Linked DNA regions of Arabidopsis thaliana. The protein of the gene in region 3 interacts with the protein of the main gene of each other region in a pairwise test. Each region holds a gene or a part of one and is shown on either strand. Other genes may lie near its edges. The genes, in order: CRK10, ABCG10 and ARA4.

Evidence for each region.
Region 1: the proteins of ARA4 (region 3) and CRK10 interact in a protein complementation assay, tested with the Arabidopsis thaliana proteins (one large-scale study listed by BioGRID).
Region 2: the proteins of ARA4 (region 3) and ABCG10 interact in a protein complementation assay, tested with the Arabidopsis thaliana proteins (one large-scale study listed by BioGRID).

Annotation. Positions count from the first base shown.
Region 1 is NC_003075.7:12,132,283-12,143,841, reverse strand, and holds CRK10 (cysteine-rich RLK (RECEPTOR-like protein kinase) 10), read right to left. Parts: upstream 5,848-11,559; 5' UTR 5,672-5,847; coding exon 4,837-5,671; intron 4,717-4,836; coding exon 4,579-4,716; intron 4,496-4,578; coding exon 4,377-4,495; intron 4,284-4,376; coding exon 4,073-4,283; intron 3,981-4,072; coding exon 3,743-3,980; coding exon of another isoform or gene 3,742-3,742; exon of another isoform or gene 3,611-3,741; intron 3,607-3,610; coding exon 3,456-3,606; coding exon of another isoform or gene 3,396-3,455; exon of another isoform or gene 3,380-3,395; coding exon 3,062-3,379; 3' UTR 2,920-3,061; downstream 1-2,919. Other genes in the region: CRK11 (cysteine-rich RLK (RECEPTOR-like protein kinase) 11), read left to right, coding at 132-975, 1,058-1,189, 1,297-1,418, 1,507-1,717, 1,797-2,034, 2,109-2,268, 2,349-2,645; EP1 (receptor-like protein kinase-related family protein), read right to left, coding at 7,840-8,637; CRK8 (cysteine-rich RECEPTOR-like kinase), read right to left, coding at 10,685-10,951, 11,052-11,173, 11,277-11,411.
Region 2 is NC_003070.9:19,857,608-19,867,744, reverse strand, and holds ABCG10 (ABC-2 type transporter family protein), read right to left. Parts: upstream 4,925-10,137; 5' UTR 4,868-4,924; coding exon 3,095-4,867; downstream 1-3,094. Other genes in the region: DJ1B (Class I glutamine amidotransferase-like superfamily protein), read left to right, coding at 404-565, 644-844, 945-1,094, 1,185-1,367, 1,808-1,888, 2,026-2,226, 2,313-2,453, 2,606-2,803; AT1G53265 (uncharacterized protein), read left to right, coding at 6,270-6,647; AT1G53260 (uncharacterized protein), read left to right, coding at 7,324-7,405, 7,488-7,553, 7,685-8,352; AT1G53250 (histone-lysine N-methyltransferase, H3 lysine-79 specific-like protein), read right to left, coding at 8,589-8,813, 8,900-9,317, 9,397-9,434, 9,568-9,620, 9,703-10,070.
Region 3 is NC_003071.7:17,929,107-17,938,858, forward strand, and holds ARA4 (P-loop containing nucleoside triphosphate hydrolases superfamily protein), read right to left. Parts: upstream 1,922-9,752; 5' UTR 1,799-1,921; coding exon 1,465-1,798; intron 1,104-1,464; coding exon 793-1,103; 3' UTR 501-792; downstream 1-500. Other genes in the region: AT2G43140 (basic helix-loop-helix (bHLH) DNA-binding superfamily protein), read right to left, coding at 2,574-2,627, 3,282-3,350, 3,430-3,495, 3,639-3,770, 4,542-4,843, 6,227-6,533. UniProt on the Arabidopsis thaliana protein: Intracellular vesicle trafficking and protein transport. Binds GTP and GDP and possesses intrinsic GTPase activity.

The DNA.
Region 1 (11,559 bases), on a different chromosome or scaffold from region 3:
TTTGACGAATTCAATATTTGAAAATTTTGGAGAGAAGCTTCGATTTTGCTTGTTTAAACTGGTAAGAAACGTACAGATGCGTCAAACACTAAACACAAAGATCTAGCTTTTGCTTTAATCTTCAAGAAACAATGAAGCAGAGGAGTTTGTTTTCAGTCCTCTGTTTTTTCTTCATAAGTTTTGGTGTTGCTTCAGTTTCAGCACAAACATGCACGACGGACAAGGGGACTTTCAGACCCAACGGTACTTACGACGTAAATCGCCGTCTCATCCTCTCTTCTCTTCCTTCAAATGTCACGGACCAAGACGGCTTATACTACAACGGTTCCATAGGACAACAACCGAACCGTGTCTACGCAATAGGGATGTGCATCCCAGGATCAACTTCAGAAGACTGTTCTGATTGTATCAAGAAAGAGTCTGAATTTTTTTTAAAGAATTGTCCTAACCAAACAGAGGCGTATTCATGGCCAGGTGAGCCAACGCTTTGCTATGTGCGCTACTCCAACACTTCTTTCTCAGGATCTGCTGATCTGAACCCGCGAAATTGGCTCACCAACACTGGAGACCTAGACTCAAATCTAACAGAGTTTACGAAAATATGGGAAGGATTAATGGGTCGTATGATTTCTGCAGCTTCCACAGCAAAAAGCACACCTTCTTCAAGTGATAACCATTACTCAGCTGATTCAGCAGTCTTGACACCTCTCCTGAATATATATGCATTGATGCAATGCACGCCGGATCTTTCCTCCGGTGATTGTGAAAACTGTCTGCGACAAAGCGCAATTGACTATCAGTCGTGCTGTAGCCAGAAGCGAGGAGGTGTTGTTATGCGGCCAAGCTGCTTTTTGCGGTGGGATTTGTATACATATTCTAACGCTTTTGATAATCTTACGGTGGCTTCTCCTCCTCCAGAACCTCCTGTGACTGTGCCACAACCTGCAGGTGATCAGGACAACCCGACCAACAATGGTTAGTCTTCCACCTGAGAAAACTATCATTGTAACAAAAAAACTTAAATATATGACATTGTTTTTCTATGTGTTGTGAGAAGATAGCAAAGGAATCTCAGCTGGAGTTGTTGTGGCGATCACCGTTCCCACTGTTATTGCCATCTTGATACTGCTGGTTTTAGGATTTGTTCTTTTCCGGAGAAGAAAATCCTACCAAAGAACTAAGACTGAATGTTAGTTTCTTTGTGTTTTACCTCTTTATTGTTTCCTTTCGTTATCAGCATGTATACTCCCGTAGCCAAGACGGGAAACACGAAACTAATACACCCATTCTTTGCAGCTGAAAGTGATATTTCAACTACAGATTCATTGGTATACGATTTTAAGACAATTGAAGCCGCAACTAACAAGTTTTCAACAAGTAATAAGCTTGGTGAAGGTGGATTCGGTGCGGTTTACAAGGTAACAAGGTCTCTGTTTTCCATTTTTTCTAAGTTCATATTGGTTTATGGAAATAACCAACAATGTTTGTTTCATTCATTGTACGTAGGGTAAGCTTTCTAACGGAACTGATGTAGCTGTGAAGCGACTGTCGAAAAAGTCAGGACAAGGCACAAGGGAGTTCAGGAACGAGGCTGTTCTTGTGACAAAACTTCAACATAGGAATCTGGTTAGACTTCTTGGATTCTGTTTGGAAAGAGAGGAACAGATTCTGATCTATGAATTTGTCCACAACAAAAGCCTTGACTACTTTCTTTTCGGTATGGTTCCTGTCAATAATTTTTCTTATTCAAAGGATCCTGCTTCAGCTTTATACTGATTGATTGTCGATATGTGCAGACCCGGAAAAGCAAAGTCAGCTAGACTGGACCCGGCGATACAAGATCATTGGAGGAATTGCTCGAGGGATTCTATATCTTCATCAAGATTCACGGCTCAAAATCATACATCGTGACCTCAAAGCCAGCAACATTCTCTTAGATGCAGACATGAACCCAAAAATTGCAGATTTTGGATTGGCAACTATTTTTGGAGTGGAGCAAACTCAAGGAAACACGAACAGAATTGCTGGAACCTAGTAAGTTCTGCTCGTAGTAGCTGAACACTAAACCATTTTCTATTGCATATTAACCCGTGTTGTATGTTTTTCAGCGCTTACATGTCTCCCGAGTATGCGATGCATGGTCAATACTCCATGAAATCTGACATTTATAGCTTTGGAGTCTTAGTTCTTGAGATTATAAGCGGCAAGAAAAACAGCGGCGTCTACCAGATGGATGAAACTAGTACTGCAGGAAACTTGGTCACTTATGTGAGCATAAAGTCCTCAACTTTCAACAATTTAACATTTTAAAACATATGACCAAGGTACTTAATTGTTCATTGTATTAGGCTTCGAGGCTTTGGAGAAACAAGTCACCATTAGAGCTGGTGGATCCAACTTTTGGAAGGAATTATCAGAGTAATGAAGTCACTAGGTGCATCCATATCGCGCTGTTATGTGTTCAAGAAAATCCAGAAGACCGTCCAATGTTATCAACAATCATCTTAATGCTGACTAGTAACACAATTACTCTACCAGTGCCTCGCCTACCGGGATTTTTCCCACGAAGCAGGCAACTGAAACTGGTATCTGAAGGATCAGAGTCTGATCAGTATACAAGCAAGTCTTCCTCATTTAGTTCGTAAAAATTGATGTGGTTCCTCATCATAGCTTAAAAGTTGTAACAGAAAAATGGTCAGATGACATTTATATTATTTGTCCACGGACATAAGAAACATAGCAGGTTTATCTGTAATTGTATGTTGTACAGTGTCCACTGTAAAATGCTTATGAACAGTTCACAGTTCTTTAAGAATCGTTTCTCGATTACTGGTTTTACTCTCTTCATGCTGAATCAAATTACCTGCTAGATCGTTGTGTAAGCTTAATTTGGAGGGAAAAGTCACTGTTACGTCTTCATGGAGAAACGTGTAAATGGTATATATCTTATACTTGCTTGTGGTTACAATTACAATACAAACATTCTATAACAAAAGAAGTTTTTAACTTATTTTCAACACCAATAGATTCAGGAATCAGGTATGAAGGGAAAAACTCATCATCATCGAGGATGTATATCTGTGATGGATGCATCGTCAACAGACCCTAGAAGAGATTTGCTCGTTGTATCTGTATCAAGCGGGTCTTTTCCAATTCTACTCTGAAAGAAAAGACCGGGTTGCCGTGGCACGGGTAAAGTCACAGTGTTACTAGTGAGCATCAGAACAATGGTTGACAACGTCGGACGCTCAGCAGGATCTTCTTGAACACATAAAAGACCGATATGGACACATCGAACAACTTCATTCCTTTGGCAATTTTCTACAATAGCTGGATCCACGAGTTCTAATGGTCGCCCGTTACTCCAAAGCCCCCAAGCCTAGAATATTATTCAATCAATCAACACTTGCAACTATGTTCAGGTAAATATGGAACTTGATAGGTTTAAAACTTACATATGAGACCAAGTCATGTGCACCATCTGTTTGGTAGAAGCTGCTATTCTTCTTGCCACTTATAATCTCAAGAACTAACACTCCGAAGCTATAGACATCAGATTTCATTGAGTACTGACCATGCATTGCATACTCGGGAGACATGTAACCACTGTAACCCACAACAAAAACTATGTTAACCAAAGGATGTTCAGAAAACTTCAACTTATAAACCCACAACAAAAACTATGTTAACAAAAGAATGTTCAGAAAACTTCAACTTATGAGAAGTTATGAGGAAGACTTACTAGGTACCAACTATTCTGCTTGTGTTCTCTTCGGTTTGGTCCAATCCAAAGATCCTAGCCATTCCAAAATCTGCAATTTTAGGATTCATATCCGCGTCCAAGAGAATGTTACTGGCTTTGAGGTCACGGTGTATGATTGTGAGTCGTGAGTCTTGATGAAGATACAGAATCCCTCGAGCAACTCCACCGATAATCTTGTATCGTCGAGTCCAATCCAGCTGGCCTTTCTTTGCAGGGTCTGTCCACATCCATAAATCACAATGAGATCTCTAAACATTCGTAACCCCAAGTATCAAGAATCATTGAAACAAAGCATTAAATGCAACTAACCAAAGAGGAAGTAATCAAGACTTTTGTTGGGCACATACTCGTAGACCAGTACTCTTTCTTCTCCGTCTAGACAAAACCCAAGAAGTCTAACCAGATTTCTATGTTGTAGCTTTGCAACAAGAACAACCTCGTTCTTGAACTCTACTTCACCTTGTCCTGATGACTTTGATAGTCGCTTCACCGCAACTTCAGTCCCATCCGATAAAGTACCCTGTTGTTTTCATCAGCATCATCCCATTATCCAAAAGTGTTGGCTTAAAATTTCAAGAAAAAAAAAACACAGCTCAAGGGAACTATAATTTACCTTGTAAACCTCACCAAATCCACCTTGACCAATCTTATTACTCTCTACAAAATCATCTGTTGCAGTTTGAATTGTTCTATAATCAAGCTGTAGTGAGTCTGCTGTTGTGATATCATCTCCTGTTACACAATGAAAGTCTTTGAAGCAGGAAAAACAAGCTGAGCATTGACATTAAAGATCGTTTATCACTTGAAATCTTTACCAGCAAATGCAGATGGTGTGTAATAACTCTTCCTTGCCCTTCTTGTAAGGAAACAATAACCAGCTATAAAAAGCAGAACAGCCACTATAATAGGCACAACAATGGCTATCACTAACACCTTTGAATTCCCATCTTTTCCTGCATTTCAAAGATTATTTGCTTAAAAATCAGATAGAAGAAAACTCTCTATATTGGTTTTGCCAATTTCAAGAAATCAGGGCAAAAAAAAAAAACAGAGGAAAAAAACAGAGCTCTGACCAGATCGCGGAGGAGCTGAAACTGGAGGAGTAGAAATTGACGGTGGTGGTGGTGGTGGTGGAACGGCGGATTCGGTGTAAAACGCGTAGATCTCGTATCTTGAAGTACAGCTCGGATTAATAATTCTTGCACCAATTCTGTCAGTAGGTATTTGATTGATGACCAGTTGGAGACAACGCGAACAGTCTTGTCTCGTGAGATCAGGTGTGCACTGAACCAGTCCATAGAAACTCTGCAACGCAGTAAAATTGTTTTTTCTCGTACCGAATTTTTTGGAACTGTTCAAGGCTACGGTGGCGGCTTGGTTCAGAGTAGGCAAAACCAAATCACTTAACAGGTCTAGTTGGTTAGATGTCACATTCCGGGTGTTAACCAAGATAACTCCACCGGTGGTTATTAGTGTCGAGAGAATATTCTGGTTAGAGTATCTAAGTACACACTCATCGTAATAAAGTGTGGCTTCTTTCTGGTTAGGACACCGAGTTAAGGTGTCGTTGACGGCAAAGGAGACGCATCTACGGCAAACTTCCGTTGAGACATCTCCACGGCAGTTGAAAAGTCCGGTGACTCTGTCTGGAGCTTGGCCGACGGTGGCGTTTTGGAATCCGGTGGAGTAGGAAGCGTTGCGGGAAGAAAGAGAAGCCAAAAGGGTCTTGAGATTGTTGTTGTAAGTGCTGTTACTTGTGTAATTTGCCGTATTTTGACAGGTGTGGTATACGTAAGTGGGATCTTGAGCAGAAACTCTGAAACTCGTGAGAAAGGAGAAGAGGAAAAGGAAGAAGAAAGAGGAGTAATAAGACATAATTGGGCTTTCTTGATCTGTGTTTCTTCTCATCAAGCTTTGAGTGATATATGAAACAAATTTGATTGTTTGTTCTCTCTCAGTGACTACCGTAGATAACGTTTTGTGCTGACGAAAAGTCAAGGTCAAGGTCAACGCGTCTCGTATTAAATTGTCGGGTCTTGTCCAACTTCTTGTGTTTAGCTACTAATCCATTACTTATTTTTTTAATATATGAAATATAGAAAAAAATTACGGAAAATATAAAATCATTTTAAAATGAAGAAAATTATCAAAACTGTCAAAATTTAAAACATAATAACTCTAAATTCAAGCTTTGAACTCTAAAGTCTTTTTTTTTTTTGATCAAAAAAAAGGTAGTTGGGATTTTCAAGAGAAAATAAATGTAGCAGTTGGCATGATTTCAAAGATCTTAATTACTAGTAATAGAATTTAGATATACATGAGAGAAACTAGCTAGCAGTAGAATTTGTTTCGTACTTTTCCTTGAACAGAATTGTTGAAATTAGGAATCTTTGTTGACTATTCTTCAAAGAATCATTCTGGGGCTGAAAAAATTGTCGCCACTGATGCGAAGAAATTATTGGTTGATAATAGGTTTTTGTTTTAAGCACGATAATTTATTAATTTGTATATCGTATATGCTAGTATGGTTATTGTGATGTAGTGATACTAAAATAGTATTACCAAATCATCTGCCTATCGTTATCTGATATTGTTAGTTACTAATTATTCTATTACTTTTTATAGTCTTACTCGCGAGAAGTTAAATAACTTGATATTCCACATGACGTCGTTCCATATAATGGTTCCATCATAAGTCCTTTCGTGTTTTCACCCGGATATGAATCTACAGCATATAAGTTTTAATATTTAAAGTTAATATCGGAATATATAAACATGAATTTGCTATATGAATGTGAAATATTTTGACATCATCCGAATACAATGTGTTTTAAAACGAATTTTGCATCCATAAGCTCCATCTAGCTAGTTGCAAAGGTGAGAAATATTTCCTTTTTGGTTCTCAGCTTCTCATGACTATTCCAAAACGAGAAAAAAGGCAATCAAAATTTTTAAAGGCATTCACATATACATAAGGAAAGAGAAAATAAAACCGAGAAGTATTTTATGTTTGATGTATCTCCGATCCTAGTAAAGGCCCAAGATATTGATGCAAGGTATATGAGACCTAGCTCAGCCGTGATTTCTCCGTGAAGAAGACTCAGCTTTGTTAATAATTGAATGAGGCGGTGTATGATGCCAAAACCCTAGTTCGTTCTATTTGATTTTAATGATATTATTCAAAACCCTAGTTTTTAAAAAGTAACTAATTTTTTTTCGTTACTGCCAAGGAAAAACAATCGGCTTTTCATGCAACAAATCTCGTTAAAATTGGTTATGGGCCTGCATGTGAAAATGGAGCCAGAACCAGAAGAGGACTTGGTCAATGCATCGAGAACATTTGCGTAATATTCTTTTTTTTTTCTTTTTTAGTAGTTTTTAATCATCAGCGTAATCTAAGACTCCGACCAAGTCTTACACAAAACAAAAAGAAGAGAAGCTGAGAAATCTGACAAGGAATTAGAAAATGAAAAAGAAAGTTTTTTTCCATTAGTAATAACAGAGGAAAAACTTATGCTTCTGTTGGTTCTCCCTTGCATCTCGCTTTCCTTAGCTCATTTTTACTGTTACGGTGTTACGCACAACTAGAATAATCACTTGGAACACTCAGAATGTTGCAGCGGGCCAGTTCAACGATCAGACGAAGTAAACATCAAGATAGCAAGAGCAACCACTATCGACGACGAATTCAGTTTGTGAGGAAGAGCGTTGGTGTAGCTTGAGACACGTTTCAATCACGTGTAGCTAAAAATATCTAGATAATTGTAATAGAAAATAAATTAAATATTTTATGTATTAATTGGTTTAGTATGAGAAAAGCCAAAACATTGACCAAGTCTAAGATTAAGAAAGCTAGATGAGCAATTCACTATCAAAGACGAGAAGACTGAAGTAAAGACAAAATAAGAAGACTCATTAGCTGCTTCACAATCCTTATCTCTTTGATTGTAAGAAACTGAGTTACTTTATTTCGATGATACCAATTTTAAACGCAGAGAAAAAGCAACACGTCAATTTGTAAAGCAGAGCAAAACGAATTACAACTTGGCCAAAACTTCGACGTAAAAAGCAGCACATCAATTTGCTCTGCTTGGCGACGGTGGTGGTGGTGGAGATGGTGTTCCAATGGTAGTTTCGTTGTAGAACGAGTAAAGCTCGTACCTTGAATTACAACTTGGCCAAAACTGTCTTGCTCCAATTCTAGAAAGTGGCATTCTATTGATGGATCTTGTCAGACATCTCAAACAGTCTTGACTTGTAAGATCAGGAGTGCATTGAACAAGCCCGTACAAAGTCTGGAGTTCGGTCAATTCGGTCTTTATCGTAGAGAATTTTCTAGAACTGTTGGCTGCTTCCATGGCAGCTTGGTTCATATTAGATTGCACCAAAACTATAAACTGGTTTATTTGACTTTGATTAGGAGAAATAGTGTTGGTGTTACTCAAGATAAATTCTCCTTCGTTTGTAATGGCCGTCGATAGAATATTCTTGTCAGAGTATCTGAGTATACACTCCTCGTAATAGAACACAGCTTCTCTCTGACTTGGACACCTAGTTAACGCTTCGTCAACGGAGAAGGCAACGCAGTTACTGCAAACTTCCGGCGAGAGGTCTCCGCGGCAGAGGAAAAGTCCGGTGACCAGGTCGGGGGTTTGTCCCACCGTGACGTTCTGGAATCCGGTGGAGTAAGAGGCGTTGCGGGAAGCAAAAGAGGACAAAAGGGTTCTGAGATTGGTGGAGTAAGTGCTGAATCTTGAGTAAGTTGTCGTATTTGGACAATAATGATTTAAGTAAAAAGGATCTTGAGCGGAAGCTTTGAAGCTAGTGAGGAATGAGAAAAGGAAAAGGAAGATAAAAGAGATCAGAGAAGACATGGTGTTTTTTTCGACTTCGTTGATTTGAGTTTCACATCATGCAGCTTCCATTTATTAACGTGAATAGTTTGTGACGACCATAAGTCATCAATCAAAGTCAATGTAAACGATTTTTTTTTATGTCATTCCTTTTTATTAACAACAAAAGTCAAATTATTGGAAAAGGCCTTGTTGAAATAACCTATTTTGTTTTATGAATAAGATTACAAGCAACTGATATCTCGACAATAATTTAGTGAAACTAAACTTTTTGAGTAAGAAAATTAATTAGGGCTACAAACTGAATAAACTAGGGTTGTGAAATTATTGTTTTAACTTATAACTGTTCGTTTGTTACTTGTCTGGTAAGGAACTTTAACTGTGCTGTCTTTTTGACCCAAAGTCTCGGCGCCAAGCGGAATAATCATCAACCTCACTTCAATAATATTCAATTCCAACCCATATTTTTCTCGGAAATAGATTGATAGACGTCAAAACATAGAAAATTTATAAATCTATTTTCTCTGGTTGTCACTTCCACGTGTTTTAGTCTAACATTTGAATAACAATAAAAGTTGATGTTCATCATATAGGTGACTTTGACTTTCAAAAAATTGTATTAGTTAGTTAGTTTATAACAAAGTAAGAAAAGAAAAAACTTTGACGTGCTAGATGGTTTCACATTTCATTTATTTTACTACTTTTACAAATCATGTAAATCACCTTCCCACATTACTCTGTTTTCCCTCTGTTCCCAAATCAGAAGGTACAAGATCATTGGAGGTATTGCTAAAGCGATTATATATCTTCATCATTCACGACTCTCAATCAGACATTGTGACTTCAAAGCAGGTAATATCCTCATAGACGCTGAAATGAAATCCAAAGTTACAGATTTTGGATTGGCCAAATTTTTAGAATGGACCAAACTTTAATGCCAATTGCCAACATTCTAAGTGTTCTCTCCATTTCTCATTTCTCTCCATATCTAATTATTCTTTAATAAAAAATCAAAACAAAGTACACATATGGTTTTAACAAACCAAATCAAAACTAAACAATTTATTGGGTTGATCACACCTAGAAATATGAAAATATATGCTTAAACTTCATTACAACCGTGAAGGTAAACATCATATTTAGCGCGGATATAAATCAGTGATCAATTCATCGTCAATAGATGCTGGAGTAGACTTGGTCGTGGTAGACTGATCTGAATCAGTCGGGTCCTTTACGGGACTACTTTGAATGAAAAACCCTGGTTGCCGAGGCACTGGTAAGGTCACAGTATTACTAGTGAGCATCATGAAAACGGTTGATATTGTCGGACGCTTTGCAGGATCTTCTTGAACACATAAAAGACCGATATGGATGCATCGAACCACTTCGCTATTCTGGCAGTTATTTGCTATAAGTGGATCCACGAGGTCTAATGCTGTTCTGTTAGTCCAAAGCCTCCAAGTCTAGAATATCAATCAATAAATCAGTTCTAGCTACTAACGTTACGTGTTGTAATGTAAGAGAGGTATATATTGATTGCCTAAAAACTTACATGTGTGAGCAAGTCTTGTGCGCCGTCTGACTCGTCGAAGCTACTATTCTTCCTACCACTTATAATCTCAAGAACTAACACTCCGAAGCTATAGACATCAGATTTCATTGAGAATTGGCCATGCATCGCATACTCGGGAGCCATGTAACCGCTGGAATCCACAACAAAACTTTAGTATATATGTTGGCAAAATAAAATTTCCAACAAACTTTAACGTATGAGATGTTAGGTGGAACACTTACTAGGTACCAACTATTCGGCTTGTGTTATCCTGGGTTTGGTCCAATCCGAAGATCCTAGCCATTCCAAAATCTGCAATTTTCGGATTTATATCCGCATCTAGGAGAATGTTACTTGCTTTAAGGTCACGGTGTATGATTGTGAGCCGTGAATCTTGATGAAGATATAGAATCCCCCGAGCAATTCCTCCAATGATATTGTATCGCTGCATCCAGTCCAGCTGAGTTTGCTTTGTAGGGTCTGTGCAAATCCATGGATTACAGTTAAATCTTGAGATTAGCAACCCCAAGTTTCAAGATTAATGGTCAAAGAATCATTGAAATGCAACAGACCAAATAGTAAGCAATCAAGGCTTTTGTTAGGCATATACTCGTAGACCAAAATTCTTTCCTCTCCTTGTAATGAAAATCCAAGAAGCCTAACCAAATTTCTGTGTTGAAGCTTGGCAACTACAACAACCTCGGTCTTGAACTCCGCTTCGCCTTGTCTTGAATTTTTCGACAATCTCTTCACCGCAACTTCTTTCCCATTTGAAAATGTACCCTATCCGTTTAACTTTTTAATCAGCATCATCTCGTTATCCAATCAAAGAATCAATACGAAGTACTTAACCTAGGGTGTACTTGAAGATATTATAGTATACCTTGTAAACCTCACCAAAACCACCTCGACCAATCTTATTACTCTCTGCAAAATCATTTGTTGCAGTTTGGATTGTTCTATAGTCGAGCTGTAGTGAGTCTGCGGTTGCCATATCATCTCCTACTGCACAATAAACAGAACAAATGTCTTAGTAATCAGCTAAAGAGGCTGATGAATGACGACCACTAATATATCAAACCTAATTAAGATTGTTAGTAATCTTTACCCTCCGATGCAGATGCTGTGTCAAAAGTCTTCTTTGTTCTCTGTGCAAGGAAACAATAACCAACTAAAGCTATGAAAAGCAGAACAGCCAGCACAACAATGGCTACCACTAACACTGTTGAATTCCCACTTTTCCCTGCTTTTTAAAGATCATTGGCTTAAGATTAGACAATGCCAGAAAGTATAAAAATACCAAAATCAATCAAAACAACAAAACTTTCCCTATTGGTATCACTAATTTCAAGATATAGTAAACAGAGCAAAAAACAGAGGAAGAAGAAAGA
Region 2 (10,137 bases), on a different chromosome or scaffold from region 3:
TCATCTACTCCACTCGGAAACCTTCCTTAATTGGGTTCACAACTTCATAAGTTCACATCATAGATCTGTGTTATTGGGCTGTTTTATGGCTTGTAAAAGTTGGACTAGACCCACTAATCATTATAGCCTGGACTAGGCATGTATTTTCTTTTCTTTCTCCTACAATATTATCTCTCATCAATACATCAAAACCACAACAAGTTTATGAACAAAACTCTGAACCGGGAAGTTGTTTTCTGATAAACCAAACTACACGCCGTCTTGAGTTGATTGATGACGTGTTAAAAGATTAATGGCTGATTGTCATTTTCCATCCAATCACATTAAAACACGTCAGGATAAAGCCCGTTTCATCACTGCTTCTCTTTCATCAAAAGTTCTTTAAGGAAAAAAAAAAACGTCAATGGCGTCGTCGTCGTTGTGTCATCGCTATTTTAACAAAATCACTGTCACTCCCTTTTTTAACACTAAAAAACTCCATCACTATTCTCCGAGACGAATCTCTCTTCGTGTAAATCGACGATCCTTCTCTATCTCTGCAACTATGTCTTCATCTACTAAGAAGGTACATCGTTCTCATCGATTTCGTTCTTATCCCTATCGATCCTGTAAATTTCTCTTGATAAATCTGAGTTTTCTTTAGGTTTTGATTCCTGTTGCTCATGGTACGGAGCCGTTTGAAGCGGTGGTTATGATCGATGTGCTACGGCGAGGCGGAGCGGATGTTACGGTGGCTTCCGTTGAGAATCAGGTCGGCGTTGATGCTTGCCATGGAATCAAAATGGTCGCTGATACTCTTCTCTCTGATATCACCGACTCGGTTTTCGACCTTATTATGCTCCCTGTACGTCTCTCTCTGCCAATCTGAATCCATTTGGTATCGAAATAGTTTCTCAATTAGATGTATTGATTTCATATTTGTTTTGGTGATGTGATTGGTTAAGGGAGGACTTCCTGGTGGTGAGACTCTTAAGAATTGTAAACCTTTAGAGAAGATGGTGAAGAAGCAAGACACTGATGGACGACTTAACGCTGCTATCTGTTGTGCGCCGGCGTTGGCGTTTGGTACTTGGGGACTACTAGAGGGTAAAAAAGTATGTGTGTAGTGAGTGATCAGTATCCAAGAAGTTTTCTTTTCTTTTGAGTTTGTATTTTGGTGTATAAATCACATACGTTGCTTGCAGGCTACATGTTACCCGGTTTTTATGGAGAAACTAGCGGCTTGTGCGACAGCTGTTGAGTCAAGAGTGGAAATTGATGGGAAGATAGTGACCAGTAGAGGGCCTGGAACTACCATGGAATTCTCTGTCACGCTTGTGGAGCAACTTCTTGGGAAAGAGAAAGCTGTTGAAGTCTCTGGCCCCTTGGTATGTCTTATCCCTGACTCTTCTATCAACCTTAATTTGGTCTCCAAATAATCGACAGATCTTAGAGGCCAGTTTCTGTTGAGAAGATGGCTCTCCGCAAAGAAGGATATATTTAGTAGCTGATTCGAGGGGAGCACTTATTTGATTTAACACTCTTTAAAGCACCCTAGTATTGTTAGTTCATGTAAAAAAATACAAATACGTGTTTTCGACCTCACTAATACTGTGATTTCCTTGAAGCCTAGGCCTGTGGCTGAATTTTTCAGCATTATTTCCCCTGTCCACTGATCAGTGACTGTTCTTGTGAGATTACAGACAGTTGAAAGCTATATAGGACACTGAAAAATTTAGGTTTCCACAAAGAAACAACCATTCCTTGGTAGCATAGGCTTTATTCCATGGTAACCTCTTAGTCTCTATTCTTCCCCTTTGCATATCAGGTGATGCGTCCCAACCCTGGTGATGAGTATACTATTACTGAGCTTAACCAAGTCAGCTGGTCATTCGAGGGTACCCCACAGGTAGCTTTCAATTGCCTGTCTGGCAAAATGAAAAGAAAAAAAAGACTGGCAAAACTTTTCACACTTGCTTTACTGAGCTCATGCGTCTTTCTTAATCAATCTTCCGTACACTGAGAGATCATGTTTTTCCTTTTCAGATTCTTGTACCCATTGCAGATGGCTCGGAGGAAATGGAAGCTGTTGCTATCATTGATGTCCTGAAGCGGGCAAAAGCAAATGTTGTCGTAGCTGCGCTTGGTAACAGTTTGGAAGTGGTAGCATCTCGGAAAGTCAAGCTGGTGGCAGATGTGCTTCTCGACGAGGCTGAAAAGAATTCGTACGATCTGATTGTGTTGCCTGTGAGTGCTAACTTCTTCAAATTACTAAAGTTTATAGTGTCAAGCAAGTTGAGGCCAACATGATGAACTTCTCTTTTTATTATCAGGGTGGTCTCGGCGGTGCTGAAGCATTTGCAAGTTCGGAGAAGCTAGTGAATATGTTAAAGAAGCAGGCGGAATCAAACAAACCATATGGAGCAATTTGTGCCTCTCCTGCTCTGGTGTTTGAGCCACATGGTTTACTCAAGGTACGAGAGTAATCACAATAGCACACACATTTGCTTAGATGTGTAGGATCATTACTATATATCCGATGGCATGGAGTATTCTGTTATCAAACCGTTATTTTTGCACTTAAAACTAAGGGAAGGGTCACAATTTTTAATGGATTTTTTTACAGGGTAAGAAGGCAACAGCGTTTCCAGCAATGTGCAGCAAACTGACGGACCAGAGTCACATCGAGCATCGAGTCTTGGTGGACGGCAATCTCATAACGAGCAGGGGTCCAGGAACCTCATTGGAGTTTGCACTTGCAATTGTAGAGAAGTTTTACGGGCGCGAGAAAGGACTTCAGCTCTCAAAGGCAACACTTGTGTAAACTCATGAGTATCTTAGGTAAGAGTGACTTTAATAAGAAAAAGGCTTTAGTATCAAACGATCAATGAGTGTACCGTTGTTGTGGTGAGCTTTGTACTAAGTGTGATGCTTAAAACTGTCTTATAAATAAACGAGTTTACTCTGTTTTTATCAGAAAGTTTTTTTGTTACTTTACATTGCGAATTTTAGAATATAAGAAAGTGCTGAACAAAAAGAAAGAATATGAGAAAGTAAAATTTCTTATAAAATTACAAAACAAATTGAATTATATCTGCAGATCATTGTTATTAACCTAGCTTCTTGTTCTGTAACATCTGTACCATAAGATGAAGAATCCAAGGACTCTGTACCCGACGATGAAACTTGCCATGATACCAAGATTGCTCCATTTCTGAGACTCTTTGAGGTCTTGTTGTTTTAAGAACACGTCTCCTCGATACTCGTTGATCATCAGGCATTCGAATGGATACTTGAAGAGGCTGAGATAATGCATGAACTCCCAGTAAACGGGGATCCTGTCCTTTGCAATGAAATACCCGGAGAAGAGGAAGAAAGATCCCATGAGACCTGAGATTACTGATGTCCCCATTATGAAGTTTGGGACAAGAGCACTGAAACATGCGACAAAAGAGTTTGACATCAGAAGAACAATCCATATCACCAATGAGAAGTAGAGGAAGCCGTCTAGCTCTCTTCTGAGACCGACCAGCCAATAAACCGGCGTAGCAAAGAGCATGCTTATGATCAACAAGAAGGGAATGAATATGAGAGTATCTGCTAAAACGTAAGACAAAACTCTGTAAGCCCTTCTCGATGTCTCTCTCATTAGGATTCTCCTGTCTTGCAAGAAAATTGGAAGTCCCTCTGTTGTGGAAGATAGCAGGAAAGTGAGGATAAAGGCGAAGAACCCGGTTCGCAAGACTTTCGCTTCTTTCTTTTGATTTCCTACGTTCAAGTAAATCGACCCCAGTATAAGACCGGCAATGGAAGCTTGTAAGGCTCTGGTTGTGAACAATTGCTTGGTTCTGAAGATGTTCTTGCAAGATCTTTGCCCGAGTATCTGCACTTCCTCTAACACTGAGTTGCTGTGAGAATCAGATTGATGAAGCTCTCCTCCTGCACTAATATAGCAACTCTTCCATGTTTTGCTATGACCATAACATGAGATTTCTCTGCAACTCTGGGTTCTGATCGGTTCAAGACTCCCTGCAATATCAATTGCATACTCCAAGACATTTACCCGCCTAGGAATCTGGTGACCGGAGAACTTAATCTTCTGATGAAGGCTATAAACTGATCCGTTTTGAACAACCATCCCGTTAGAGAGCAACACTATCCGGTCTATCTGCTCGAGTATGCGAAAACCAGGCTGGTGAATCGTCAGAACAATGGTTTTACCTTGTTTAATCGTCATATCTTTGAGAAGCGTCACAACTTGAAGAGCGGACGCAGAATCCAAACCAGAGGTTGGCTCATCGATCAATATAACATTTGGATCATGAACAAGTTCAACTCCAATAGAAACCCTTCTTCTCTCTCCTCCAGAGATTCCAGATCTTGATCCTTGACCGATCCTTGAATCCGCAACATGTTCTAGACCAAGCTCTTGAATCAGCCTCTTCACCTTTGCAGCCGCGTCTTTCCTCTTTGTCTTCAGCCTCAAGAGTGCGCTGTACGTCAGTGTTTCTTGCACCGTAAGAAACGGAAACAGAGCATCTTCTTGTGGCACAAACCCTGAAACCCTCCTGTACTCAGGACCATCCATAGGCCTACCGTTGACAAGCACTTGCCCTGAAACTTTCCCATGAGAAACTTTTCCGGCTAGAATCTCCAGCAACGTGGTTTTCCCTGCTCCGCTTGGACCCGCGATCGCAGTGATCTCCGCGGATCTTGCATCACAAGAAACATCCTTTAAGATAACCTTTTCCTCCTTCTCACTCAACAAACCACATAAATTAGAAAACTTTGGAGTGTTTCCGCCTATTCTATACGACAGATTCTTGGTTTCTAATCTATATGAGATTTCCCGGCCACCGGGAATAGGAGCTTTTACCGGCAATTCCATCTAAGAAAGAAAGAAGGAAAAAGAAAGCATCAAACTTTGAGAGATAGAGAAATCAACAAATTGAGCAAAGAGTGTGAGATTAAGTGAAGAATAAATGGTAGAGAAGATGAACTAACACACCAAACTTTAAGGAACCTCTCCTTTATTATTCAAACATTCAAAAGCTTCAAGACTTTATTAGCTTTCTCTTATTGCCTTCCATGAAAACCGAAAAGCACTTGACTATGACTAAATTAAACCAAAGATATTTATGATTCCAAGCTTAAAATGCTTAATTTGTTTTTCTTAATAAAGAATTTGTTCGTAAATAATATTGATACAGTTAGATAAATTTATATGAAATTAAACATTTGTTGTTTTTCTTGTATTTTTTAATTTCTAATGAAATTGGTTGACCAAAAAAAATATCTAAGAAATTAAGATATGTAGTTGGTTCTTTTTTTTTTTTTTTTTTAATTGGGTTTTGAAATTGTGAAGAGGTACAAGAAAAGCAAAAAAAGAATTAGTTAGAAAGAGATTTGGTTTCGTCTAGAGATTCTCAAATTCGGGTGAGCTGAAAAATTGACCGTGAAATGTTTGCCTTGTTGGTGAACTTGTTTTATCTAATTTATTAGTTTTTTCTAACAAAGAAAGAGAGGAAACCCAGTTTGGTTGTTATATATTACCTACAATATTTAATTACGTGTTTCGAACTCGCTTACGGAAATTCAGATGTTTAATTAACAAGGAATAATCACGTAAGAAACCTCACTAATTTAATTATTTTTGGATAATAATAATAAAAAGACGCATTATAAGATGTTGTCTAGGTGGGCATTCGGTTAGATGTGGCTGCAAAGGTGAAGGGGCTGATTCAAAGTTGTGACGAAAAAAATCGAATTTTGATTTGGGTTTGGAAAAAACACTTAAAGTTGTGACTAATAAACTTTAATTCGGTATAAAATTAAAAACAACTTGGACCAAACGTAAGCGGGTGACTGGAAAAACGATATTTTTATACCAGTACAATTTGCAAAGTATTGTTTTCTTATATAAAACATACTGTACAATGTTAATTCTTTACCCAAATTCATAAAAAAAAAAAAATTATATCCAAACTTTATAGGTCGCACGTATTTTAGGATCTGCAATAACAAATGTTAGTTAATACTAACATACGTCGACTCAAATGACCCATGTTTAATGAATTAGCATCATCTTCAATCAAACCATGTCGTTTTGATCACAATTTTTCTTTTTCTTTTTTAAACCTAAGATTCAAATCCAAAACTAAAAGTAAAAAATAATATAAAAACACGAAATGAAACAATCTCGACAATCCAAAGAGCAAACAAAATCTTCAAAGTTGCGAGAGAGAGTTTTTTTCTCTAGACCTAACAATGTGTATTAGCAGGTTTCTGCAATGGGTGTTGCCAATCTTCGTGTTATGCATTATGTGCATAAAGATAAGGCCTTCGCGTACTGGTCTTGTACATGTGTCTACGCACCTGAATCTCGGTATTGCTCTGAAGAGCACAAAAAGATGGCCTTAGCAGAACGGGAATATGAGCTACCACATAACTTTGCCAATGTCCATTTGCATACGAATATGGAGGATCTTGTCCTACCAAAGATTATAAGCTATTTGAGAGATCCTCAACTAGGTATCATTGAAATACCTAATCTACAATACATAGACGACGTTTTTAATGTCACTCCCACTGAGCAACCAGATATGTTCTCTACTAACCTCGACGAAAGAGAAGAATTCAACATATGGTTGTTTATGATGATTTCGTGACAAATGGGTTTCTCATGTCAATTGAAATAACAATGGGACGATTTTGAAAATAATGTAAAATAGTAATGATATGTACTACAATTTTTAGTTTTACATAATATCCTTGAAATTTGAAAGATCCATCTAAACCCATTTATGCTTGGGGTTTTTCCATTTTCACTAAAACCTCTCCATTTTTATCATCTTCCAATGGCGATTTCTCGTTCCATCCTTCACCGGCCAGCTAAATCCTTTTCCTCACTGTTCACTCGTTCCTTCTCTTCGTCATCTCCTCTCGCCAATTCCCCTACTGTTTCTCGATCTGCGTCTTCGTTGTTGAATCGTTCACGTTCTCTCGTTTCTGGATTCTCAGCGTTGGTCCGTGCCGGTGTATCTCTAGCTAGGTGTATGTCTACGCAGGTTACTTCCGCTTCGCTGAATGATCCGAGCCCTAACTGGTCGAATCGGCCACCAAAGGATACGATTTTGCTTGATGGTTGTGATTTCGAGCATTGGTTTGTTGTCATGGAAATCTCTCTAGAGACGAGATTATTGATTACTACATCAAAACCCTAGCTCAAGTTGTTGGCAGGTATATATATAGATCCATTTCCACAGTGTTCTTTGATCTGTTTCTAGAGTCTTACTTTGTTAAGTGTGTATCTTATTTTTGCGTTTTAGTGAAGAGGAGGCAAGGATGAAGATTTACTCTGTGTCGCACAAATGCTACTTTGCTTTTGGAGCTCTTGTTTCAGAAGATCTTTCACATAAGATCAAAGGTTAAAGCTTGTTAATTCTTTTGCTTAGCTTGAGTTTATTATAAGCATTGATTTCTTATACTTTTGTATGTGAACAATCCAGAGTTGCCTAAGGTTAAGTGGGTTCTTCCTGATTCCTACTTGGATGGGAAGAATAAAGACTATGGAGGTATGTTGTTTAACTCTGATGATTGTGCTTTCTAGTCACAATATACATTGTTGTAAGGGACACTAAGATTTGATCTTGTCAGAGAGTAGTAATTAGTTTTTGATGGGTTTTCTGAAATTTGATTGTTTCAGGAGAACCTTTCATTGATGGAAAGGCTGTTCCTTATGACCCAAAGTATCATGAAGAATGGATAAGAAACAATGCTAATGCAACTAATGAAAACAGACGCCCTCGCAGGCCTCGCAACTCGGATGGAGGCAGGAACGATAGGGGAAACCAAGACACGGGTTACAGACGTCCACCACCAAACCAAGGTATGGGAGGTGCTCCACCTCCACCGCCTCACATAGGCAACAACCCAAACATGCCTCCTCATATACAACCACCTAACATGAACCAGAACTACAGAGGTCCTCCTCCACCACCAAACATGAACCAGAACTATCAGGGACCACCAGCACCAAACATGAACCAGAACTATCAGGGACCTCCACCATCAAACATGGGTCAGAACTACCAGGGACCACCACCGCCAAACATGAACCAGAGCTATCAGGGACCTCCACCGCCAAACATGAACCAGAGCTATCAGGGACCTCCACCGTCGAACATGGGCCAGAACTACAGGGGACCTTCACTGCCGCCACCAAACATGAGTCAGAATTACGAGGGACCACCACCACCGAACATGAATGGAGGATGGTCTGGAAACTACCAGCAGAACGGTGGATACCAACAACAAGGTCAGGGTGGTGGAATGCAGCAACAGCCTTACCCACCCAATAGGAACCAGAGTTAAACCGTCTTGTGTTTTCATGTATAGGAGCGGATACCATTTTGTGGTCAGTGTTCTTCAGTTTGTCACTCTGCTTTGTGAGAGAGAGACTGAGAGTTTTAGTCTAATAAGTTCTGCATGAGTTATTGTAGCCAGCACTCGTCAATCTATTTATTTATTATATCCTCAAGTCAACCTTGTTTATTTATTTAGTGGCACAAGAAAAAAAGAGAAAGCTATAAACTAGGAGTAGAAAAGAGTTAATCAAAATCCATCGATTTCATGGCAAAAAGACCAAATCTCGATAAAACATCACTTCCTCGTTGGTTCTTAGCAGCTTGGATCTGATCAGCAAGTGAGATATCTCCTCTTGTTCGCTCTTTCCTTATCAAATCCAAATCCAGTTTCTCCAGTTTAGCTGCAACTGAAACAACCCTATCCGTTCCAATTGCGATCTTACCAAGACTTGTTTTCTTCTTGTGAATCTGACAAGACATTTAATCAAACCAAAGAATCATCAAGTGGGTTTCTAATATTCTTCAGAGTCATCAACGGAGTAGTTTTTTTATACCTTTGTTAGTCTCTTCTTTAGTTTAGAACGTGAAGCAATGGTTGGATTCTCCCTTTCCTGCTTTGGCTTTCGAATCTTTCCTTCTCGTCGGTCTTTCTCCTCACGTTCTTTCTTTTTTTCTGCAGCTCTCCTCATCTTCTCGGTCCTGGCTTTTGCAGCTTCTTTTGCTATCATCTTGGTTTGTTCCTTAGCTCTTGCTTTCTCTTCAGCTAACTGAAGCTGCTCAGATGAAAAATCTTGTTTTATTTTTTCATAGCTGTCCCAGTCAAGTTCTGCCTCGCCACTTCCTCCTTTCCTTGCAGCTTCTGCAATGTTTTCTGACCACGATGACATGAACTTCTCCTTTAATCGCTTCGATCTTGACCGTTCTGCCCAAACTTGTTTCACTGAAGCTCTTATCTTCTCCTTGGTTTCATTACTGCAAGAGACAAACTTAGCTTAGATATGGCTCTAGCTTCATTGTTCTCTATTCTACACTCAATACTTTACAAATCTACCTGTGTGGTTGTTGATGATCGGACATCTTCTTCCGAACCTGCAAGATATTGAAGAGAAGAAAAAGTTCTTTGCCAAATAAGTTTTCTTCCTTCACTTCTCACTGTAAACAATAGAAGATGGGACAACAACAAAATGTCCCTGAATTTGCATTGAATCTTACTTGACTTCACCTTGGGATTTGTCAAAGCTTCGATTGTTCTCTGCTTGATTCGTCTTCGAGTGTCTGTTAAAGAGTATCAACAATCTCACTACACAAAGCCTCAAAGAAGAAACAATGTAGAAAATCGAAGAAAAGATCCTTCTACCTTCACTGTGTTTCCTTCCTTTGTTCCATGGCACCTTTCCTTTATTAGCTAATCCAATCTTCCTTCTCCTTTCCTCTTCTTTAATCTTCCTATCACTATCACTATCAGCTTCAGTATCTTTGTTCATAGCTTTCACTTCCAAAAGACTTGAATTGACTTCTTTCCTATGAATCTCAAACACATTGTACAATGAACCTACAGATTTCAACTCCAAGTGTCTGATAGACCTCAAAGAAGCAAGTGAATTAGGTATTCTCAAAACGATTGGTTCTTTGAGAGTCCAATAGATTGAATTTGGGAACCACCAAGCGCATTGGAATGGAGCACGAGTTGATTGAAATGTGCATTTCATCTCCATTGATAAACCTCTGCAAAAACAGTATTTGACCAAATCGAAATCAAAATAGGTCAAATAAAATCAAACAACCAGTACCT
Region 3 (9,752 bases):
TTCATACTATAATATTAACATATGAAGAAAGCATAAGACACTTTATACGATTCTTAGAATATCTCAATGTGATTATGTGAATAAGACAGACAAAACAATTGTTAAATAATAAATACCAAACGCGTATTAACATAATGAAGTGACATTAACATGATTGTTACTTTAAACATCTTATATTAAATTTGATAGCGTAGTGAGGTTTATGCATTTTAAACGTATTTGTTACTATTAATAAGTATAATTATGTTATCATTTACAGACCATTTTATAACTAAGATTAAAACGTATTCGAGGCAGATTGGAATTTATCTCAAATAACTATGTGAACTCTTTTATCTATAGGTTATACAATTAAATAACATCAATTACAATTTCTGTTATTTTGGTTCGACATTATGATTTAACTATAGTGGCCGCAATGAATATACTGACAACATTGCTTCAACTGCCACATCTATTCGAAATTAATAACCAAAACTGAAAATTGAAATAAATATTCTTATCGTTTTGTTTAGATAAATTTGCGGGCCATCGAATTAAAGAGCAGTTGGAAAATATCAAAATTGATTTAACAATCATAAGTTTACAAAAGTTACAAATGAGAACATAACTTATACACTAACCAAACTTTTTCTGTATGCGTAACAAAGAAACTCAAAACATCTTTCTCTCTTCTTCTTTTACTTTAACTGAGAACTATAAGAATATATCTCTGCCTTTCTATAAGTTTACCAGGAACACAATTCAACCCGAAACCAATCCTCAGGACAAAGAGAAACCGTTACAAAGATGTTACCTCGAACAGCAAGAGAATGTCTTTGTCCCTTCGTTCTCGTTCTTAACCAAGCTAACACGATTCACAGTCAGCTCCTCTTTGTAAGAATCAGAGTTCAATTGCTTTCGACTAATGTTGCTATAGATCTCCCGAATAACCATCTCGAAAGCCGTCTTTACATTGGTCGAGTCCAACGCAGAGGTCTCCATGAAAAACAAACCTTCAGACTCAGCAAGACTCTTGCCTTCCTCAACACTCACCGCTCTTATGCTCTCGAGATCACATTTGTTCCCAATAAGCATTTTTGCTACTGTTGTATCAGAATGAGCTGCACCAAAGATTCATCATTACTGTCAAACTAACTCTAAACTCAACCTATCACAATTTCAAGCTCAATAGAGTAAAGATGCAAACATGAATCAACTAATCATTGCATATCTTCATCATTCAGTTTCATGATAATCATAAACCTAAAGAAGTAGATAAATTTGACTTGACTTTGAATCAAAGTCTTAAGAAGTCATCATAAATCTTCAGATCTAAAAATTCTAACCAGCAGCATCACTATCGCTATGATTCAATCCTAATCCAAATCCAATCTCTACTCTATTCAAAATCAAAACTCAGATTTACAGATCTCACTTCAAATTGAATAAATTCACTCAAAAATCGGAGATCGAAACACATACTGTTGAGCTCATCGAGCCAGCGACCGACGTTTTCGAAAGTGGAGCTACGAGTGATATCGTAGACGACGAGGGCTCCAACGGCGCCACGGTAATAAGCAGATGTAACGGCGCGGAAGCGTTCCTGACCGGCGGTATCCCAAATCTGAGCTTTGACCTCTTTGCCGTCGATGAGCATGCTCTGAGTCTGAAACTCGACGCCGATAGTGGCTTTGGAATTGGGATTGAACTCGTTACGGGCGTAGCGAGTGAGGAGATTGGATTTGCCGACGGCGGAATCACCGATGATAACAATCTTGAAGAGGTACTCTTCGCCTCTCTCGTCGTCGTCTGACATTTCTCCTTCTTCTTCTTCTCTGTAACGCCTTTGTTGGAGAAAGAGAGCTTTGTTTGGATTTTATTAGGTTGTTTGTGAGCGCAATTAATGAGTATTATTTTGCGCATGAAATTAATTCCATCATAATTAACCAAAATTCATATTATGATTTATTTCTATTTTAATTTATTAATTATGTATTTTTTTATAAGAATCTTTTCTAAATTGATGAAATAAACTTCTTCAAAGAGTACACATTTTTTTTGTGTGTGTGTGTAATTTACAACTTCTAAAATAATTGGTAACCAAGTGGATTTTCCATATGAGTTTTCAAAAGAAAAAATAAATTGGTCTGAGTACATTTATTTCCTTGAAATAATGAATTTGGTTCAATTAAGGTTTTATTTTATATACATTTGTTGAAAACAACTATGATCCTCCTGATGTTTTTCTGAGATTTTTATTCACAGATCAAAATTCAAAACGTAGGATTATATTCACACACACAAACGCGCATCTCTTTCAATCTCAAATAATGGGTTTTGCTCTAAGCTAAAATTAACCAACTTTGAGGAAAACAGGAAAAAAAAAATCGATTGATCGAATTTTAAGTTATAATAAAGGTCAAGACTTTCAGAGAGTAACAAAACCAGCCTTCATTAATCCATCATCACTTTCTTTAGACCTCCAAAATAACTCCTTTTTGCTATGTTTCTTTCTGTCTTAGAATTTGGTTCGTAAGTGATCTCCTTTTCTTCTATACTTTATTGCATCATACTTGGAACAATATCATTCATCATCGCTTCTTGCATGCCCCACAAGTACATCTCTCCATTCCCTTTTCCAGTGACTGCACATATATAAGAGATAATTTTAAAAAATCATATTAATTTCTCCATATGCATACTTAGCTTGAATAAGACATTGAGACCTAGACATGTGAATAAACGGGACATCAGAATCTAACCGATCAAACATGACGTAGACCAAGTGTATGATAAATATATAGTATATAATGTATAACCATCTATTATGCATGATTCTTAACTTAGATTCTTAGAAGAGTCTACTGTTAACGACTTAACGTATTCTATTACGAAAGTTTTTAACAAAATTTAAGATGCATGTATGATCAGTTTTATTTCAACTGGGTGAAAATGATATAAATGAACATAACGAAAACATTTTCATGAGACCAACGCAAAAACCCTTTTGTTAAGAGATCATGAGAATGTAATATTTTAATTTCACGTGCATGACATTTTGATATGTCATGAAATTTTCTGGAAGAAAAAAAACACGTCCGAGTAAATGGTTGATCCATGGTTATGATCATATTGGACAATAACTAACCATTATATTAATATAACTATTTTCTAAAATACTAAAATTTGGCTTTAAGGTAACATTTTCCCAACATAGAAGGAATATGATCACCCTTTGCTTCAATTTGAGAAAATGTCACTTTTGCATATATAGATTCATTTTGTATCTAAGGACGCACCTCTACTTGGTGCTGAAGACCTTTGATATGCTCAACAGCCAAATCCAACATATCTGCGTAGCTCGTTTGCTGCCAAATTTTTCAAACTTATTATAGATATGTAAAACCACACCAACATTACATTAAAAACAGAAATAATATCACTTACCTTGTCCATATTAGGCACAAGTTCTTGTAGCTTCTTCAGCTTCCCGCTTATCCTCGTTCTTCTCTCCTATATACCACAAACACGCAAACCAAATCATATATAAAACCTAATTTTTACTCTTGTTTTCTTTGGTTTCAAATGAATTCACCTTTTAAGTTTGTATCTAGACTTATGCAATAGTAATCACCATAATAATAGAATAAACTAACCCTTTCAGCAATGCTGCGTGGGTGAGTCGCGAAGCCGCGCTTGGCTCTAGCCCTACAAGGCACCGAGTCCTCTGGGATGTTCATCAAGTTCTCCATTGTCGCCATTTCCAGAGTTGTTTGCGGCATGCTATACTAAAAGTCAAAACCATATATATTGAGATGAAAATCAATGTATAACCACTCAATGAATATCATAACCAAACCAACATCAGTGAGAATGTTTACACAAAAATCATTTGGTAGCAAAGGGCTTGTGAAAAATATACATAAATTAATCATAACCCTTCTCTAAGCTATTTATATCTATTACACAACCACTCAACTCTGGCTTCTACACACAGAAATTTGGCTATTTGCACTTTATTGGCATTTATTTCAACTTGGAATTCTGTTGTGGATATGGAATTTAAATTGGGCTTGTAGAATTCATATTGTATATGACGCGCACTATATAATAACACTTGTTAGCATACAACTTGTGGACCATACATATAATTAAACACACAAATCATTTAATTGCCAAGGACTTGTGAAAAGTTATAAACCTTCTCCAAGCAGTTTATACACATGAACCTGTGACATAGACATTGCTGTTGGCAATATTTCAACATGGAATTCTATTGCTAACTTTATGGAAGTTAATTAAACTGATATAAAATTTCATACGATATGATAATATACTTTCTTAGTATCAAGTTGTCAACCTATTATAGATCAATCATAAACCTTCTCCAAGCCTATAGAAACTAATAATACACAAAACAACTAACATTGGGGATATTCACTCTTTTCTCCCTTTACCTAGAAGAATCCGAGATTTATTAACTTTGTTGTATAAAAAAATAATCTAAAAGTATTGATACACATACATAAATAACCTCAAATTAAAGTTATAGAAAATACCTGAGTTTCTAAGGTGAAAAAGTCGGAGTTCTTGGACCGTTTTCCGGGTTGATCAATGGTGAAACTGATATGAGAAGACGAGTTGTCCCAATTGTTAGTACGATTATTTCCAAAACTCATACTACTTGATGCGACACCGTTTCTAGCCGCTGCAGCCGCTTCAACCTCCGAGATTCGCGGTAGAGAATTATGTTCTTGATGGCTACTACTCCCACTAGAGAATCTCAGCTCCGACTTCAACCTCGACGGCCCTTGCTCTCCTCCTCCGCCGTAGCCTCCGTTTGGCCGTCCTAGAGAAAAACCTGTTCCTTCTTCCATCAACAAATTTAGATTGAAAGAGAAAGAAAGAATGTAATGTAGGTTTATAACTTGTTATCTCAGTATTTTAATAACCAGTTTGATTTTAAAAATCTTTAGTACAAAATAAGAAGAGAATGGGTCGTCTTCGAAACTCGAGGACCCCTTCCTTTGTCTCTAGTCTCTCTACTTATATATATTTTAATTATCGCCAATTTGGTAGAGAATAAGGATTCCTGAAAAAGAATCTTAGAAATATTCACCATTCGAATTCCAATTACTATCATATACTATACAAAGTAGTATGTATATAATAATGCAAGAGGGGGTAAAATTTCTTGGGGCTCGCACATGGATTACAGGGAATGTGAACCGGACATATGCAATGAACCGAAGATCAAATTGCACAAAAATAATATAAATTATTACTTGCAACTAACACTATAGTAATAAAGCTTATTATATATAATGACAAGTAGGCGTATCCAAAAATCAAAATAGTGACCATGATCAAGCCATGTCAGCAGGGGTAGGCCATCATGGCTGCTTTGTCAGAAGAAAAAGAGCAAGTGGGATGGATATATTATTTCCAAGTGGACTATACTTTTATTTCTTTTTGTAACGATTCGTTTTTTAACATATACTTTTGGCAAGTGTGTGTTTTATATTGCATTATTAAAATAAACAACTTGCCACTATTGGAAATACGTATTTGATTATTCATGCATGTATATATACGTGTGTACACATGTATACATATGACTAAGATCAACCATGGTTAATCTCTTCAGACATAAGCTGAAAGAGAAAGGTGTGTATAAGATCTAGAGATAGATTAAGTATTGACTAAAGCAAATAGATATATTTTGAGAACTACATGTGTATTAGGTTTTCAATTACGTGGTTGATACTTATTGGTCTTTAATTAAAACAAAACAAAAGTCGTATGGAGGGAAACCAAACAAATTCCAACCTATAGACAAATTACTTAAGTCATCGAAACAAAACCAAGACTACATGGTTTAGATTACAGTAAGTCAAAACTTACGTGCTACACCAATTTACTTGCCGACTTTATCGATGTAAAATAACATATTCATTTTTTAAAATGTTTTCGAATACTAATATGGAATTTTAATTTTGTTTTTTTTTCTATACCAAATTTGTCTAACTTATAGGAAACATATATTTATTAAATGTTGTAACAAATTTTTTAATGTGCAAAAAAAGTTGAACACTTAAAAAAAAAATTCTTGATATGTGTATAATTGTATAATATGTAAATTATGTCGACTAGATTCAGCACTAATTAAATCCAATTAATTAGGAGGAGAACTCTTTGGTGGGGTGAAAAAAAAGTTGGAAAAATAAAGAAACGAAAAAGTTACCGTTGGGATCAGTGGGAAGATGTTGGTCGTAGAATCCAGCCGGAGAGCTTCTGTGTCGGAACAAAGAAGACGAAGAAGAAGCGTTGGAATCGAATCCGATGGAAGATGGCTCGCCCGGTAAATAATGGCCGACGAGGTTGGGATTCTGCTGATGCTGCTGCTGCCGCTGCGGTGGCGGATGATGGTGGGTTTGAGGGCCAAGAGAGGAGAAATCACGGGTAGCTCCAGCGGCTGAGTCATATTGATTGGTGTCGGCATCGCCGCCGCCGTCATGAGCGGTGGACTTAGAGGAATTAGGAGGGTACATGAAACCGGAAAAGAAAAACCCTACAAAAGCTAATCTGATGCTTAGGAAAAAATCTTGAGGAGAGGGTTTGAGAGAAAGAGACTTTGAGTAGTTATTAATTAATACTATATGATAATGCAAGAGGGTTACTAATTATAGTTAGGACTGTTAAATTAAATTAATTAAACTAAGGGTGACAAATTAGAGCGATGGCTTGTCCTTGTGCCTTGTGGGTGCTTGACCAAGAGAGAGTCTCCTACTCACGGTCCCGTCAACGCACGTGCACCTCACGTGGTTGACAGATGGTGGCTTGACGTTATTTGCGAATTTTTCTTATAACTTAGCATCATTTTTCTTATAAGATATTTCGTTTTATTAGGTTAATCTTAATTCTATCAAAAATTCAATTTTAAATGGAGTTATTATTATGTATGACGGTATCGATATAATGATTCCGGGCATATTCATTGATAAACTTTACAGCCTAAAATGCCAATTTTATATTCTCATAAGAGAGAAGCAAATATCAAAATGATGATGGACTGTACAAATGTTAGTGAATACATTTACAGAGAATCGAAGCCTTCATTATTTTTTGGGTGATGAAATTAACATGGATATTAGTTTAGTTATCGTCAAGTGGGTCATTAAGATTCCATTTTGTATTAATATGGGAATCAAATTGTTATTTAACTTTGTACTTTATTATGGATACTTATAGTTTATTCTGATTTTAAAAGTCTATTTCATTGTTCATGTTTTCGACCACCCATATGATCCAAGAGAAAGGCAGACCATGACAAAACATCCATTTTACATTTATACGTTTAGTTGATTTTATAATAAAAATACACATGCACTTTTTATTAAATTAAACCATGGTGAACGTCCATTGATTAGGATATAGACCTTGTATTTGTTTTTAAACAGTTGATTTAGATTCCACATTTATGTTTAAGATGGGCAAAGATCCCATTTGTTCCATGATGAGGATCTTTATGTGACTTTGTTGCTGATTACTATATGTCTATATCTATACTATTGTTTCATCATTTCTAGGGTTATGTTGAGGAGTATGAACATATTACTTTAACGTTTTAAATTTTGCTAACGGATCACGTAAGTCTGTTGCGACAAGACATTACAAGCAAGACATGTAAGTATATTATTCTTACTTTTAGGTTGTAGAATTTCTACTTCATACAGAAATATTTAACTAGTTCTTTTGATTGTAGGATGGAGTTCTTCTTTTTGGGCGGAAACAAATAGATATCGTAACTCCACTGCAATATTTGATTTCAATCTTCACCGCATCTATCTCTCCGTCAACTCCTCGTCTTTCTCCTTCCATCGTTTTCATCAAATCTAAAGAATCAAAAATTGGGTACTTGATTTCTTTTACTTGGGCCATCGACTAAACTTTTATTTGGGCTTTTATGCCTGTATTGGGCTATTTAGCCGATCAGGCCTTAAAAGCTTGTAACATATATTTTCTTATCCTTTTTCAATAGAATAACGGTTATATATATATATAAAAAAAAAAAGAGTACAGAGTTGGCCCATTTGAATCAATATGGACTATCTATTTTGATTTTTCAGGTCCATGTTCAAATATCTTTTACCCATGTGTTTTTTTACCTGTGAAATTTGCTATTATTATTATCAATTTAAATGAAACAGAGAAGACAACAAATTATATCTTTTTTTGCCGGCCAACAAATTTTTATCTAGAGACTAGAGAGGCGAGTTAGTTGCCGATCAATCTATTTATTTCTATCTTTCTCAATTTTAGAAAATTCGGTTGGTCATGTAATACGATTTTCTGTCTCTTTTTGGCGAAAGCTGCAAAAGAAAGTGTGTCAAGAATAACATACTTACATGTCTTGCTTGTATACATGTAAGTATATTATTCTTACAAAAGACATGTAAGTATACAAGAATAAACATTCTCTAGTATATAAAAGAATAACCAAACTAACCGGATTGAAAATTTTAGATAAACTTTGTCTCTTCCTTGTATAAATTGGTTTTAACCTTTCTTAGCAAAAAAATAAATTGGTTAACCTAACTATATTTTATTATTTTCTTGATTTTTAGTTGTTTATGTAGAGTGTGTATATGCAACAACTAACTAATTAAGAGATATCATTGGTTATTTGATCGAATCACTTTCACTTCATGACAGCTAGGTGGTTCCAAGTACGAAATTCCAAATGTGGATGTGTGCTCAGCGATTTTCTTACGTATACACAGTTATTGATTTTTTTTGCGTTGTGTAAATATAGGTATTTAATGACTATAAATTTTTGTATGGTATATGCTTGAAAAAAAATTTAATAAAGGATTTTTAATATGTTTTCAAGACCAAAAATTAGTGATGATGCGATGAGTGGAAATTGACTCGTTACATTAATTTTGGTTTCGGTTTTAGTATTTCAGTGCAGTTTTGATTAGAAAAATGCTCTGGTCATGGCAACTAAAGGTTGTCTAACTTTCAACGGGGTTAACAACCCTACATGAATCAGACCGATCATGATTTTCTTAAAACAGTTTATGACTCAGTTAAAATCATACAAAATTTCAAATTTACCAACCACCAATATTAAACTTCTTAACAACAAAAAAAAACCTATTATGTATTCTCAAGTTCTATGCTTAAAAATCTTGCTATTTTAAAAAATAATAGACGATAAAAATGTGAGAAATAGTTAGAATATACTGTATTAAAACCACAATAAAAGTGAAGTTAATAGCTCACATAAATTAAATGTCGTTGATTTACTTTTTTTCAGTCAAATTCCAAGATATATCTTAAAGTATTTACATAAAGTAAGAAATATGCAATATTTTGTTCTTATAGATACATAAGACTAAGAAAGCTACAACCACTAATATTATTAAAATCGCTTGTAAATGAGATTTGGGAAGTATTTTACTTAGTCATAATTAATAAAGCTTCTATAACATTGCACTAGAAGTCTATAAAGATAATTAACTTTAGCCCTAGAAAGGAAGCCTCTAATCTCTTTTTCACGCCATTTTCGGGCATAGCCACCACCAAGGAGATATTGGTACTCTTGTAATTAATAAGAATTCTAACATCTTTACACTATATACAAAAAAAATATGTCACTGATTTTTGTTTCAGTTGCCTTTATTTATAGTTTTGGCTTGCAGCAGTTGATACGAAAATTATGATCACTACAATATGTGGTTAATATATAGTCATTGTGATATGAA